Schizosaccharomyces pombe: one gene and its partners. Changing the gene in region 1 together with any one later gene gives a genetic interaction. Each region holds a gene or a part of one and is shown in the gene's direction. Other genes may lie near its edges.

Region 1 (4,966 bases):
AACAATGATCCTTTTCAGGGCCAACACCACGGCCTTCACGAATTTCAACAGTCATAGCACGAGAAACGACATCACGAGAAGCCAAATCCTTAGCGGTAGGAGCATAGCGTTCCATAAAACGCTCACCCTTGCTGTTCAAAAGATAACCACCTTCACCACGGCAACCTTCAGTAATTAAACAACCAGCACCATAGATACCAGTAGGGTGAAATTGAACAAACTCGAGATCTTGTAGAGGAAGTCCAGCACGAGAAACCATGGCATTACCATCACCAGTACAGGTATGAGCTGAGGTGCAAGAGAAATAGGCACGTCCATAACCACCAGTAGCCAAAATAGTCTTGTGAGCACGGAATCTGTGAATACTACCGTCTTCCAAATTCATAGCAATGACACCACGACATTCACCACCTTCCATGATTAAATCCATTGCAAAATACTCAATAAAAAAGTTTGTGTTATGTTTAAGAGATTGCCCGTAAAGAGTGTGCAAGATAGAATGTCCAGTACGATCGGCAACAGCAGCACAGCGATATGCCTGTCCACCTTTACCATATTCAAGGGATTGACCGCCAAAAGCACGTTGATAAATCTTTCCCTCCTTCGTTCTTGAAAAAGGTACACCAAAATGTTCCAACTCCAAAACTGCTTTGGGTGCTTCTTTAGTCATGTAATGAATAGCATCTTGATCACCCAACCAATCTGATCCTTTGACAGTGTCATAGAAATGCCAGCGCCAGTCATCTTTTGTCATATTACCGAGTGCAGCGTTGATACCACCTTGGGCAGCGACAGTATGGGACCTCGTAGGAAAGAGCTTAGTAATACATGCAGTATTAAAGCCGGCTTCTGCCAAACCAAAAGTAGCACGAAGACCGGCACCTCCGGCACCTACAACGATAGCATCGTATGTATGGTCAATGACTGGATATTTAACGGATTCTGATGTTGAAACTTGCTTTGCTCTTAAAGGCTACATTGTTAGATTGTTTAGAAAACTGTTCATAGAGTAGAGAAACAAAGAAGGGTTGCTTAAAAATCATAAAATTTGCACCGCTTCCAAAAATAAGACGAGTCACTAAAAAAAAACATACCTGGCTTGAAGCTATTTTTTTTAAAGTTGAAGAAGTAGAAAATAGCTTCAGATTCCCTCCATTTTTTAGACTTGGAGCGACTTTTCGAAATCTGAGCATTATATGTGTTGGATGTGGTGGAAGGAGAAGCTTTGGTAATTGGGCATCTCTTAAGGAAGTACAGCATCGTTAAGTGCGGAAGTTTGAAATACCGCCCTTCTTATTCGTCAACTCCATAAGCGAAATCTAATCAATACTCTTCTATTTCCGTGTCTTTAACTTTAACTTACATTATTGGCTTAACCCACATCTCGGTTTAATGACACAAACTGCTTCAATACCATCATCATTCAGCTCGTTAAGAAAAGCAGTTTTAGTACTACTCGGTGAAAACCCAAGAACTACGTATAAAATATATTTTTACTATTGCTTTGTGCCTCCAAACTTTTCCGATAAAAATTAGCTAGCTAAATCTCGAGGACAAGACGCTTAGTTCTTCCAGAGTGTTAGTAAACAATTGTGCAAGTGCATTGAAGCAACAGTCAGTATTTTTTTTTGTTAATCTCAAACATTTATATCGTGAAATATTAATTAAACTGCTCCTAAGTTATGATTTATCAAGATGCTCCTCGCTCACTATTATACCGCATTACATGATAGTTTGGTAAATATATAAGGACTCTTGGAAGTTCAATAATAGTACAGGCACTTACTACAAACTCATCAATCATATCCCCACCGTTTATTTATATAATTAGATGGGTATACAAAACTAACATATCATACAATTCTCTTACTTTGAGTCTGATATCTGTTTTTGTAAGTCGTGTTCATACACACTTTATAAAGTGTTGAACAGAAAGCAATTGTTATAACTTCTTAGACAGGGTGATTAAAACAATTTCTATGATCCCTCAATGAATGTTACTCGTCTTTACTTTCGTGTCGCTGGAACAAAACAGTTCGCCCGATATGTGCACAAATATGCTGCATATTCCTCTACGAGCTTTCAAAAAAAGAAATCTCATTTCCCATCTCCTGCTACGCTCGATCACCCGGATGCCGGAGAAGACGCTTTTATAAATTTAAGGAATGAAAACTATATCTTAAATGCAGTATTTGACGGAGTTGGAGGCTGGGCGAATGTGGGGATTGATCCGTCAATATTTAGTTGGGGATTGGTTCGGGAAATAAAAAAAGTCTTTAACAATTCTGACGAATTCCAACCAAGTCCTCTCACTTTACTTTCCAAAGCATATGCAGCTTTGAAGAAAAGTAACACTGTTGAGGCTGGCTCAAGCACTGCTTGCCTTACATTGTTCAATTGCGGAAACGGTAAACTTCATTCATTAAAGTACGTTATTTGTTCATTGGTTCATAAATTCTTACTAACTTTATTTCAAGCCTTGGTGACTCAGGATTTCTTATCCTTAGAAATGGTGCTATCCATTATGCATCACCTGCCCAAGTACTCCAATTTAATATGCCATATCAATTGGCTATATATCCTAGGAACTATCGTTCCGCTGAAAACATTGGGCCTAAAATGGGACAAGCAACTGTGCACGACCTTAAAGACAATGACTTGGTAATTTTAGCTACCGATGGCATATTTGATAATATAGAGGAAAAGTCGATCTTAGACATCGCTGGCGTCGTTGATTTTAGCTCTCTTTCGAATGTTCAGAAATGCCTTGATGATTTGGCTATGCGCATTTGTAGGCAAGCAGTTTTGAATTCGTTGGATACGAAATGGGAATCTCCATTCGCAAAAACGGCAAAGAGTTTTGGTTTCAAGTTTCAAGGAGGGTACGATAAAATAATTTATATGTGAAAATATATTAACAAGCACATTAGGAAAGTGGATGATACTACCATTACATGTTTACTGATAAAGTCCAAAAATTATGAGTAAAATTAGTATCTTCTTCGAACGAAATACGCTTATATTGAATTACTTTAGTTCATTAAGGGTCCTTGAATCGTTCATTTCAAATCATCTGGACCAAAAGAGTCAGGAAGTAACTGCCAATCATGTTAATGACATTCAAGTAACGCTTGCATACCTCTTCTATCGTTTTCATATCATAACCCCCGTCGTCATGAAACATATAAACATTTATATCCTTCGAAAATTCACGAATTCTTAACAACGTTTTGTTAGTAAATTCAACGGAAGGATTTCTTTTTCCTTAACTGTCAACTTACACTTGACGACAAATACCACAGGGCGTAACTCTTCCCTTGGCACTCATCACTCCAATAGCCATAAATTTAGTGTAACCCATGCTCTTTTAAGGTTGATGTGAGTTATAATGGTCAAAGCGGTAGCAACTCTTCACGCGCAACTTAATCTTACCACTGCTTTTGTAATTGCTACTCGTTCGGCACAGATGCAATTGCCATATGATGCGTTTTCAACTGTTTGATACGTTAGATTTCATATTTTTTGAATTCGGTACAATCTTTTTACCATTAGCTCCATAAATATATGTATTTTTATCGTCGGATACTACGCATGCACCTACTGCGAAGTTGGAGTAGGGACAATATGAATATTGTAAACTCTTTTTTACTTCTTGAAATAACTTCTCAATATCTTCTTTTTCCATTTTTTGAGTGCGACTAGATTTATTTTGTGAAAAAAAAATAACTCCGATGCACAAAAAAATTGCAGAATATATATACAACCTACTAAAACGATATTATCTAGCAATGTTGGAAGAAATGTTGTGAGCTGAGCTCCCGGTATATCCTCGGGGCAACGAATACCAAAGCGTATCCACTATTCCGTTAACTACTATCATTATTTTTCTAATACAATGATGTTATTACGAGTTGAAGATTGAAACTGTAAAAGTGATCAATGTTATACCACTTCAAAAGAATATTATTTTTCCAATTATGTAACCGAATTCCATTCATCGCTCTTTCAACATTTTGTTACGCTTCTCTCTGCGTCGCCGACGATCTATCACCTTTTGGTGAAGTTTAGCTTGCAACAATTCCATTCGTTCACGGTCTGCTTTTGCTTGACGACGGGTACGGATTTTTTCGGCATGAGCCTTATGAATAATTAGTAATGGATATGATACTACTGATAAAGAATACTTACAGCACGCTGTTCTTCTTTCTCTCTTTTCAATTCCTTTTCACGCTCTTTAATCTCATCTAACTTCCGCTTTTGTTCCATACGCTTTTCATACGGAGTTCTTTGAGCATCAGCAAGGCCACTTCTGTTGTACGCCTTTTTCTCAGTTTTCCTAATTGTTTAATAAAAGCTTTCTCATACTGATAAAAAGCATACCATGGTTTTCCTAAAGAATTAGTACTTAATAAACTTGCTCAATTCCATACCTGAAACACATACACCCTTAGTTCCATTAACCATTGTGTATCTGGTTTTTGGTACAAAATTTCTTCTAAACCTCTATTGAACCATCGGTCAAACTCATTAAATTTGGTTAACGTAGTCTCGTTTTTACAGTCTAAATTATTTCAGTCAGTAAACTAATTCGGTTGTAAAATTGTCTTTTGTAAAGTGATAATCGCCTAATATTGAAAACCAAAGTTCTAAAAGATAGCAGTTTATCTTAACAAATGAAACGAAACTAGACATAATGACTCCTGCCAACGAGAGTGTTTTGGGGATTTTTTTTACAAAATTGTCTTGAGACAGCAAATCAAAGATACCTGAAATACTTAATACTATTTTTCATGCTAATTTTTGTTCTGTTTTCTACTCGAAATAAATATCCTCGGTAAAGTGTTTGGCAGTAGGAAAAAATACACCTTAAACTTTCTGAGGGGTTCTCATTGTTTTTTTTTTAATATTTTACTGATATTTCGATTAATCGAATTATGCGTGAACGAATACGTTTATTAACGGTTAA
Region 2 (3,812 bases), on another chromosome or scaffold:
TGAAAATTATTCTATTATTTCTACTGCCGCTGCGAATGGAGTATACGAATATTTTGACAAGTCAATGAAAAAGAACTGGGCTGGACCCGAACATTGGCGCATTCAGGCATTGAGAAAAAATATCAATAACGCATCAACTGTATTCAACTCTTCCAATACGGCTGAAAGTTCAGATAATGTATCGCGTTCTCTTTCTTCCACGGAACGGAAAAAGCGTCGAGAACTTGATAACGCCATTGATTTCTTGCAGGAAGTAGACGTCGAAGCACTGTTCACTCCTGCAACCAGCAGTCTCAAGCTTCCCAAGTCTCATTGGAAAAGACATAATCGATGTTTACTACCTGATGACTACCAATATGATTCTAAGAGGCTTTTACAGCTTTTCTTGAAACCAAAGATGTCAGTTCTACCCAACGCTGATGGAGAAGGACAGCTACAACTGAATAAAGCCTTAGATGATGAGAATGATTTGGACGGTATTCAACCCCATGGATTCGATTCTGATGGCAGTGATAATGTTGATGAAGGAATACCCCCGTATGGATTTGGAGATTCCGATAGCCCTAAGCAAACACCTCTGCTTACACCTCCATCATCATCAGGATTTGGTGATAACCTTTTGTTAACTGCTCGTTTGGCAAAACCAGATATGCTGAATTATGCGAAGCGTGCTAAAAAGGTTGATGTGCGAGTACTGAAAGAAAAGCTATGGAAATGTCTAGATCTTGAAAACACAATTAAAGAAAATTCCATCAACTCTCATATTGAGGGTTCGGAGATGGAGTCAGAAGAAACCAACATGCCAGTCAAATCTTTTTTTTCCACTGTCAATCAATTAGAGGAGACATACGAGAAAAAAGAACTCAAAGATATATCCACCAGTTTTGCCTTTATTTGTGTTTTACATTTGGCGAATGAACATAATTTAGAGCTTACAAGCAACGAAGATTTTTCAGATGTTTTTATTAGGCCAGGTCCTAACTTGACGACGCTAGAAGCATTAGAAAATGATGTTTAAAGTGTGTAGAATCGAAATGATGCAGGTCATCATTAATTAGTCATCATCGCATACTTTTAGCTAGCGTGAATCATTTTCAAGATAGCCGGAAATTATACTCTTTTTGATCTACCTTGAATAATAAAAACACTAGCTCGTATTTTTAGGCTGTTACTACTTTTTGACATTGAAGAGTTGTGAAAAATGAAGAGTGCAAATTGCATTTTGTGGAGCAAGCTGACAGCGAAATTTTTTGTAAAAAATACACCTTCCTTTTATCTTGTGATCGTTGAAGACATCAGTATCTTGCTTCTGCCTGTTAATTCTGTTGGAACTCACTTAGCAGTTGACTCTTTGGAAATAACGAGATATTGCATTCATTACATGCTTCTATTCTCGACAATATAACAAAAAATAATAATTATTTATTGTCTCTATGTGAGGTTTTTTACCTATAATAGGATTAAATTGTACCAATATACGGTTATTCATATATTGTGAAACCCTTTCAAAGTTAGAACATATCGATTTGAGTACAGAAATGTAGGGTAATTTTATCTTTTATGTTAATCTTTCTCAAGAATCTATTTTTTTTTGATACAAATTATTAAATGAATTATCAGAGAAAATGAAATTTGTCAATGACCAAGCTGTAGAATAATTTCAACACCGTCAACGAATGGACTTTGGCTCAGTAAAATAAAGTTAAAATACATCCTTTTAGTTAAAGAAATAGGTTTATAAGCAATCTATGAACTTTCGCAGCAACGTTAGTTCATCTAGTTTTACCATAGATTTGAAATAGCGTTTAAAGCAAAATTACGCTATATACGATAGTGATTCATAATTTAAATAAAATGAGTTATGCAATACAATTATTACAATTTTTTCTGTTGCACAATATCTATTTAGCGTTGCTTTCTCAATGTACTTTACAGTGGGTAACAATCAATGGCTTAGAATACTTTGTCAACATCCAGGAAAAGTAGAATTTATCCTTTCCCTATATCTAAGACACCTACTACGGTTTTTCATAATGTCAGCACTGTCGTTGAGTATTACTAAAGTTTCGGAGACTTTCTCAGAAATTTACGCTTCAAGGGTATGAATTAATGAACTATGAGTAGTAAACTTGAAAAGATCAATTCACTAACGCAAAATGGTAGGCTCAGTATCTAAGTGGTTTTAAATCGGTGGGCGAGTTCTTGGATGTTCGTAGAATTTCTAGACCTAGGAATTTCAGTGAAGCTCAGTCGAGAATTAGCTTCAACTTTTCGAGGTTTTCTTCTAACTATCTTGCAATCATTGCTATGCTCGTTATTTACGCACTTATCCGTAACCCTTTACTTTTAATTGTCATTGGAATTGGTGTTGGTGGTGTTTATGGTATTCGTAAGCTTCAAGGAGCTGATTTACAACTTAGCCATCGTGTAATTTCCAACCAAAATCTTTATGTCATTCTAGCATGCGTGTTGATTCCTCTTGGGCTGTTCGCATCTCCCATCGAAACTATCATTTGGTTAGTTGGTGCTTCCTGTGTCTGTGTATTCGGACACGCTGCTTTCTTTGAGCCTCCTGTTGAATCGGCATTTGAGACTGTCGAGCAACAAGTCTAAAAAAATTGTTTCTAACAGCCTCTTTGGTTATCTTGGTACAGTTGCTTTAATTTTCGTACATGTCTTTACAAAGGGAATACTGGCATTTCCTACGCTTACTCTTCTTTGACAAACAAAAAGAGGGAAACTGTACGCCGATTTTAAAGAAACTAGCTTGCTAATCATTTTATTATCAGTTATTTGCGTTTCATACTTTTTTCCTTTTAATACGTTAATACTTCATTTGTAATTTTTTAGATTATTCATTTCTGCGCTCTTTGTTTTACGCCTTTTCGTCGTCTTTTTCAATGACTCTATCTGGCTATCTTTATCTTGCCTTTACTTTCTTGAAATTATGGGATAAAATGACTTCTAAACTGCGCATTCAGCTTCATCTAGTACTATAATAACTAGTTTGGCTGCTTATATGAAGCCAGCTATGATTTTCACCTCTCTTATTCTTTTATCTTAGCGTACTAGACGTTTTTCCTCGTTTCTTTGTCAAAGGTCTACTACCTTTTAAGGATAACTTCAAACTATCCTTCCTGGGAAGAGAAGAATTTTTGCATTTTTGAACCGGGTTTCGTTCAATATATTTAGTTCGTTCTTTACACTTCAGTGCATTTGGTTAGTTAATAATTTCTAGTCAAACATTTGCTTTACTTTTAATTCATGTGTATAATTAATTGTTTATTTTTACTTGATCATTTTTTCTTTTGTCGCCAGTAAATTATGTAGAGTGGAAAAACAATGTTTGGTATTTGGAGGATATGGAAAACATAATCAAATATTGAAGAAAATCAGTTTGTACTATCACAGATATGCCTTACGATAATATACATAGATTCCCATCAAGCATATTCATATATACATGATAAAAGCCAAAAGAGTCGGAATATATTAAAAGTAAACGTTTCACTTACTATTCGACCTTTTTAATCATAACTATGCAGTTGCGCGTATAATCTTCATCGGTAAACTTATCATTTCATGGCTTTTTGGATATATGTGCACTAAAGCTTTTGGTAATCAATTGTACCTTCAAGTTTCTTCAGGTCAGCAACCTTACGAGCTGCGGACATTAAATCGGACTGAATGACATAGTCGCGATCTTCTTTAATGGCTATGAATCCTGCTTCTGTAACCACATTCCGCAAGTCAGCACCATTTGTTCCATCTGTCAGTTTAACCAATGCTTCATAGTCAATTTCGCCTTGTTT
Region 3 (6,277 bases), 2.0 Mb from region 1:
TGCGTACGGCACCAGCTGCCATGTTGTTTGATTTTAAGGCACCCCAAATAGAAAAATCAGCAGAGGTGAGGGAATAACCCACAAAAAGAGAGCGCATAATTAAATGGTCGTCTAACTGAGCAAGAAGTGAAGAAAGCTCAAGAAAGTTGTGGTTACCAGCTAAGGCAGAGGCAGTTTCCACCCAACTCTCAACCAAAGAACGATCGTTTTCGCCAATGAAAAGTTTAGGATAGACTTGAGAGAAAGTCTGTAAAGCCAACTTGGAACCGAATACAGGAGAATCAGAGCCGTTAAGCTGAATGGAGACGTTCGATTCCTTGTTTTGTTTGTCTAATAAAGCAACGTCCTCATACTTGACGGAAATGCTTCCTGCACCAGACAGATTCACATAATTTGCACATGCAACTGCACCATAAGCAATGGGCTTTGCTTTTAATGCAACACTAACTGACATTTTCCCAAAACCGGTGGTGAAAATTGTCGAACTTGGTTCGTGGTAAGTTGGTGTCGAAGTGATTTTTAGGGTATTAGTGTATGGTAAAGGTATGTTTGCAAAACACTAAAAATCCAAACCAGAAAAATTCGAACGCAGTACGAAGTTGACCGAAAAAAAAGGATTCTATTTAAGTACAAATTAGATTATAGATAAGGAATTCAAGTTCATGTCTGACCTTGATTAATTTTCTTTCCAGCATTTTTCGCTAATCTGCTAATTTTATACAGATATGAACCGAAACCGAGGGTTTCTCGTTATACTGTTTACCATTTTCTAACGTAAATCGGTATACCGATAAGAAAAGAGAATAGATACATAATAACAGAGTGGAGTTGAAACAATCAGAAGAATGGAAGAAAAGTCATTTTTTTGTTAATAATTACCTGTTAATCAGCTATAGGATTAAAGGAAAAAGTAGGAAAAATCATCTACCAAGTTAATTAATAAGATCTTTATCATCTCATTTATTTAGTTATCTTGCTATTGACAATTTTGACGATATCAAATACATATATGACATTTCAAGTACATTGAGAGTAGAAAAAGAGCACCTTTTATAATTGAAATTATTATAAATTGGAAAAAAATCTCACTTCAAAATAGATAGCTGCTTTGTTTATTTTACAGAAATAGCTAAAATTTGAATACAGCCATTTATAATGTACTTCATTGTATATAATATAAGGAACTCTAACATATCACGGCATAGTCTAGCGATTCATCTACTGAACATGTAAATATATCATTGTTTGCTTCGACAGATGTCTCATGTGGTTTTGCCGCGTGAGTTATACAGTAGATGAATTGTTTACAGCTATACAGTTTCCTTGTTTTTTTTATAACTGAGAAACCTTTGAGGTTTATCTGATGGCACGGTAATTATGAGATAACGAGTAGAAACCAAAAACTCACAAACATTTAAATGCAGTTCAGCAGGTAGCTGAAGTCTCTTTGACAAGCTGTATTTCTTCCTTAATTCTCATTTCGTGATGGTAATCAATTGTTTTCCTTACCCTGCCTCCTAACAAATTGCAGTTTGCTAAAAAGTGTTTACCAAATAGTGAGTCATAGTGCATTGACTGTAAATGTGAAAATTCGTCGTAATGCTAACGATCATTAAATGTACGGTAGAGCTAACAAATTAACTCGAGCAATAATAAAATTTCGCAATATGAAATAATGCATCTTTTGGAAACTTAGCGCGCGAATAAAGTATACACATGGACGGGTCTACTAGTACCTAACGATTATCGATGAAGCTGCAGCGTTTGTCAAGAGCACTTTACGGTTTTCGCATCTAATTAGAGAATATGGGAGGCCAAGAGTCAAAGTAAGTAACATTGCGAAATTTTCGTATGAGCTAACTGTTTAGATTGGCATTTCAGCGAGGAATTGCAAGATTAGCTTCTCAACCGGTACGGTTTGTGTTTATGGGTGGATGATACGCTAAGAGAACATTGCAAGCTAATTCTAGTAGGATATACCGTTGGATGATGAAGTTTGGGTTTCTGTATGAAATTTTTTTTATTAACTTGTGTAAGACGCTTTTACTAATGTATTCGTTTTTATGTTTATTAGCTTTGGAGTGTACCTGAAAGTTGTCCAGAAGTTTACGATTTTTTTCCCCCAGGTCTCATTCGTGAGATGAGGGATCATGCCTTTGTAAACCTTGAAAAATTGCTGCTTGTATTGACATCTCGTTTGTTTGCGTTGAAAAATGACAAAAAGTTTCCAAATCCTGAAACGGCACCAGCGAGTGAAGCGTTAAACTGCATTCGCCTACTTACTAGAATCATTCCTTTTTTGAATGAGAAACTCGATTTAGAAGAATGGCATCAAAAGTTTTGGTGGAGCCTTAGAAAGAAGAGAAATTTACCAAAGGAAAATTCCGAATTAGACCTTAGTAATTTTCAAGACGATCTAGATTTTGAAAATTCCATCTCCCAAAAGAACGAATTCTCGCAGAAGTCTCCTTCAGTCCCATTATCTCCTGTGAGCACCTTTCCTGCTTCTTCCATCTCCCTTGATGCTTCTTCAGACGTCTCTGCCGCTGACGTATCAGTAGGTGGTTCTAGCACAATCAAAGAAATTGGCTCTATTGAAGAAACTTTTACTCATGAAAAAACTTTAATGGAGGAATTGCTGGACACCGTCTTTCGTTTGCTTTTTTGCAGAGGCTTTACGCTTCCTCTTTCAAGTCCTGAGCAATATGCATACATTATATGGTAAGTATATATGTATATATATATATATTTTTTTTTTGTTTTTCGTTTGCTTTTTTATATTTGGTTAAATGCAATGTGTTAACTAATCACTTTTGCAGGGAAAATGGAATTGGTACAACAGAAACCCAAGAGAAAACCACAAAGGAACTTGCGTTTAATCGCATTGAGGTTCTTCGTTTGCTGTTAGTATTGATTTCTAAAAGGCTGTATCGATCTTCTGAAGTAGCTTCTCACACCCTTACTTATTTGACCTGTGTAGCAAATAAGCAGCTTATACTAGTTTTTCTTTATTCCCTTATAAATACTGTAAGTTTTGGCTTAAAATTTACCTTTTTTTGTTGTACAACTAACTTAGTTTTTAGACTTTGCGACTTAGACCTGATAGCTGGAAGGCTTCGTATTCAACTCTAGTACCTTATAATGATTCTAGCATTGCACTCTCAAAACTTACTTCTCAAATCCTTTTGCTTTTTTTAGATCACACCCCTCATGAAACAACAGTCGAATACTTCAGACAGAGACTCAATCTTTCTCCTGGCGCTGCTATCGAAAATCAGTATAGATTATATTTTTCTCGACTTCAATTACAAGCTGATTATGAATTTTTAGTTAACGAACTATATCGGCTATTGAATGCACCAGTTTCCGCTATCTCTGCCTATATTTCAATTGTACAAAAGCCTAATATCGCGTTTCCGGAAATTATTTTGTTTCTTTGGCAAGCAATTTTATATAATAAAGTATGTTCAACGGTCCTTTTATATATATTACATTATTTGTACAGTTGTTTAATTTATGTTGTTACGCGTTCATTATATTTGCTAACTAATTTAAAACAGCGTTTCCGAGCATTTTTGATCACTTCTCCTTATGCTACGGAGTTTTTAACTTCTATTCAGTTTTATGCACTTAGATATCGTGAAGACAATGAACATTCCGGCCTTGTTCGCATTTGCCTTTTTATCGTTCATTATTTATCATGCGAGAAGGTTCTTTGTGAAAAACTAAATAGAAACTGTATGAATGCACAATCATTGATGTCTTCCCTTGGGTTCTCAGTCCCACCAATGTCTTATGCAGAGTTTTTGATTATCGTAAGATTCACGATTAATTGTTTATTTTAATTTTATTACTTACGCCTTCCAGTCTAGCTTTCATATTTCAGCAGTGAAGAGATCTCCGTTTAGCAGTTTATCTCCTGTTATATTGTTGACCATATGCAATATTGCACCATTTGTTGAAAACCTAAGTTTCGTTACGTGTGCCAAATTAATGCAACTCTGTTCATCTCTTTCATCTCCTCGGTTTCTTTTTCGTAATCCGCGCAATCATCTGCTTCTTGAATACCTGTTACAGGCTATTTCTAGTATAGTTGAAAACAAGTTTTCTCAAAACCCTAATCTCAGTTATTCTATTATTCGCCTCCAGCAAGTTTTTTTGAATCTTAATTCTATGAAACTTCCTGCCGTTGCTCAGACTAAATCACAGCCTTTAGTGGCCCTCAATTCGGAAGGAAGTAGTGATTTTGAATCTAAATCATCCGATAACACCTCCTTAGATGGAACACCACTCCAAAATACTGACTTTAAAAAAGTTGCTACCGTTGAAGATGATTCACCTTTCGATGAATTAGATAAATTTTCCTCCCCTTTTAGTAGCAGTAGTTCACGCGGTGGCTTATCACATATTTCGAGTAGAAATGTTTCGATTTCTGTCCCGACAGTCCTTCAAGATGTATTCTCAGATTCTCCATTGGTTCTGTCTAGAAAGTTGCGTGGGAAAATACCGGAAAATGTTTCTAGTTCAGAACTTATTAAAAAATGTGCATCCAATCCGTTTGGAAAAGATTTAGAAATTGACTCAAATTTGTTTGCACCTTCCAACTCGTGGTTTAATTCTTGGCATTCAAGACTTGAATTGGATTCTATTCTAGCCATTATATCTCAGTTTTCTCTACCTGTATACAAGAAAATGAATGAAGAATTATCAACTACTGACGAAGCTGTTAAACTATTAGCTAACTCTGTGCTAAATGATGTACATCCTCGAGTTCCCAATTTTCGCTACTTTATTTGGAGTGTCCCTATGAATAATTGGTTTCAAAGTCTTGTTTGGCTTTATACTTTGTCATTTGATGAAAAAGGTTTAATGGCTACTCCCTCTTTATTTACAACCTCTAAAGTGTACAAACAACATGGAAATATCATGAAAGTTGCATCTCCTGAAAACAGTTCTAACTCAATGGAGAATGCCACAAAATCTATACTTGACAAACTCGATTTGCTGTATTTACAGCTGCCAAGTAGTGTCAACCACGATTCCAGTTTACGCAACAAGTGATTCTTAAATTCAATGCGTAAATTAAAGTATACTTTTGTCCTAAAAAATATTTGAAGAAAACCCTGCATGCATGTTATGGTATCTTACTTTGAAAATTTATTGATTAAATTGTTCACTAAAAAATTATCTTGGAGGATTTGCATCCACATACTGCCATCATTTAATTATATACTGATGACCAGAATCTTGCCTTGCTAATTTTGATTTTTGAACTTTTCGATTTGTTTTCATTCTATTAATTAACTAAAAACTGGCTTGGAGAATCTTCTGCTCCAACCTTGTCACTAGCTTTAAAAAAGTCTTTCGAAGTTTGATTTGGAAAGTTGGTGTTTGAAAGTCAATCTCGTATACTTTAGAAAGACCCACCTTTATGAGAGAAACGATCCACTGATGCTAATTCATTACATGTATCCAAATCAATGTATAACCTTATATAGCAATGAATTGGTTGCTAAAAAATTCTTAGCTTTATTTCGCTACACTTATAAATCTGTTTACTATATAAAATAAAAAATCCAATTTCAAAAGTTTTGAGTCCCAATTTTTTGGGTAACGAGGATTACTTCATAAAGACCTTAGACCTTTCCTTTATTTTTTCCACAAAACTATTTATATTCATGAGTTTGTTTTGTAATTGCAATGAATAACTAGCTTGTCATTTACGAAAATTGCATATCAAAAGTATTTGAGTAAAATCGATATCCTGTTTGGCATAATGGTTCAATTTATAAAAAATTCGTGTGGTTAAGAGTAGAAATATATTTTCGATTTTGCGAAATGCTTAATATGCGAAGATATTGTATTTGAGTACTTCAAAAGAATACAACGCACAGTAAACCTTTTCTTTCAATAAATTATCAGGTAGAGGTGGCCTTATTACTGTTTTTTAATAATTTTTATGCTTAAATACCTATTGGAAGCAAGAAGTAATTATGATTACCAAAATTGACTCACTTCCAAAGGACCTAATTCGCAAAGTTGAAAATGGTGAAAAGTTGTTGCCAAATCAAGAAATCGTTTATTTTGAAGAAAAAACAGTCCCCTATAAAATTAGAAGTGATGAGGAAAGTTTTCCTTTGGGCAAATTGATAACTTTATTAGTAACTTCACAGAGCTTTATCCTTTTTGATGAAGAACAGAATTCTGGCTGGAAAATTCCATATGAAACCATTACTCTTCATGCGAAACAAAGCAAGGATAAGCCATATGTATATGT

The links. A genetic interaction does not mean that the proteins touch.
Region 2: mutations in azr1 (region 1) and yip3 together harm fitness more than expected from each alone (negative genetic interaction), as found in Schizosaccharomyces pombe (one large-scale study listed by BioGRID).
Region 3: mutations in azr1 (region 1) and ftp105 together harm fitness more than expected from each alone (negative genetic interaction), as found in Schizosaccharomyces pombe (one large-scale study listed by BioGRID).

The regions. Positions count from the first base shown.
Region 1 is NC_003424.3:3,797,254-3,802,219, forward strand, and holds azr1 (mitochondrial protein phosphatase Azr1), read left to right. Parts: upstream 1-1,776; 5' UTR 1,777-1,990; coding exon 1,991-2,427; exon of another isoform or gene 2,428-2,477; coding exon 2,478-2,882; exon of another isoform or gene 2,883-2,930; coding exon 2,931-2,988; 3' UTR 2,989-3,059; coding exon of another isoform or gene 3,060-3,098; 3' UTR 3,099-3,139; coding exon of another isoform or gene 3,140-3,218; 3' UTR 3,219-3,281; coding exon of another isoform or gene 3,282-3,364; 3' UTR 3,365-3,432; coding exon of another isoform or gene 3,433-3,494; 3' UTR 3,495-3,546; coding exon of another isoform or gene 3,547-3,685; 3' UTR 3,686-3,994; coding exon of another isoform or gene 3,995-4,138; 3' UTR 4,139-4,188; coding exon of another isoform or gene 4,189-4,336; 3' UTR 4,337-4,380; coding exon of another isoform or gene 4,381-4,390; 3' UTR 4,391-4,430; downstream 4,431-4,966. Other genes in the region: succinate dehydrogenase Sdh1, read right to left, coding at 1-973, 1,095-1,193; cdd1 (cytidine deaminase Ccd1), read right to left, coding at 3,060-3,098, 3,140-3,218, 3,282-3,364, 3,433-3,494, 3,547-3,685; CGR1 family ribosome biogenesis protein, read right to left, coding at 3,995-4,138, 4,189-4,336, 4,381-4,390, 4,431-4,464. UniProt on the Schizosaccharomyces pombe protein: Confers azacytidine resistance in high copy.
Region 2 is NC_003421.2:407,045-410,856, reverse strand, and holds yip3 (Rab GTPase-binding protein), read left to right. Parts: upstream 1-1,991; 5' UTR 1,992-2,033; coding exon 2,034-2,099; intron 2,100-2,163; coding exon 2,164-2,613; 3' UTR 2,614-3,259; downstream 3,260-3,812. Other genes in the region: condensin complex non-SMC subunit Cnd2, read left to right, coding at 1-1,018; proteasome regulatory subunit Rpt4, read right to left, coding at 3,606-3,812.
Region 3 is NC_003424.3:1,784,632-1,790,908, forward strand, and holds ftp105 (Ubp5 interacting protein Ftp10), read left to right. Parts: upstream 1-1,738; 5' UTR 1,739-1,806; coding exon 1,807-1,826; exon of another isoform or gene 1,827-1,868; coding exon 1,869-1,911; exon of another isoform or gene 1,912-1,973; coding exon 1,974-2,006; exon of another isoform or gene 2,007-2,074; coding exon 2,075-2,721; intron 2,722-2,819; coding exon 2,820-3,027; intron 3,028-3,083; coding exon 3,084-3,461; intron 3,462-3,560; coding exon 3,561-3,815; exon of another isoform or gene 3,816-3,867; coding exon 3,868-5,061; 3' UTR 5,062-5,724; downstream 5,725-6,277. Other genes in the region: gus1 (glutamate-tRNA ligase), read right to left, coding at 1-454; protein saf5, read left to right, coding at 5,994-6,277. UniProt on the Schizosaccharomyces pombe protein: Required for the localization of ubp5 to the Golgi apparatus. Involved in detoxification of cadmium ion.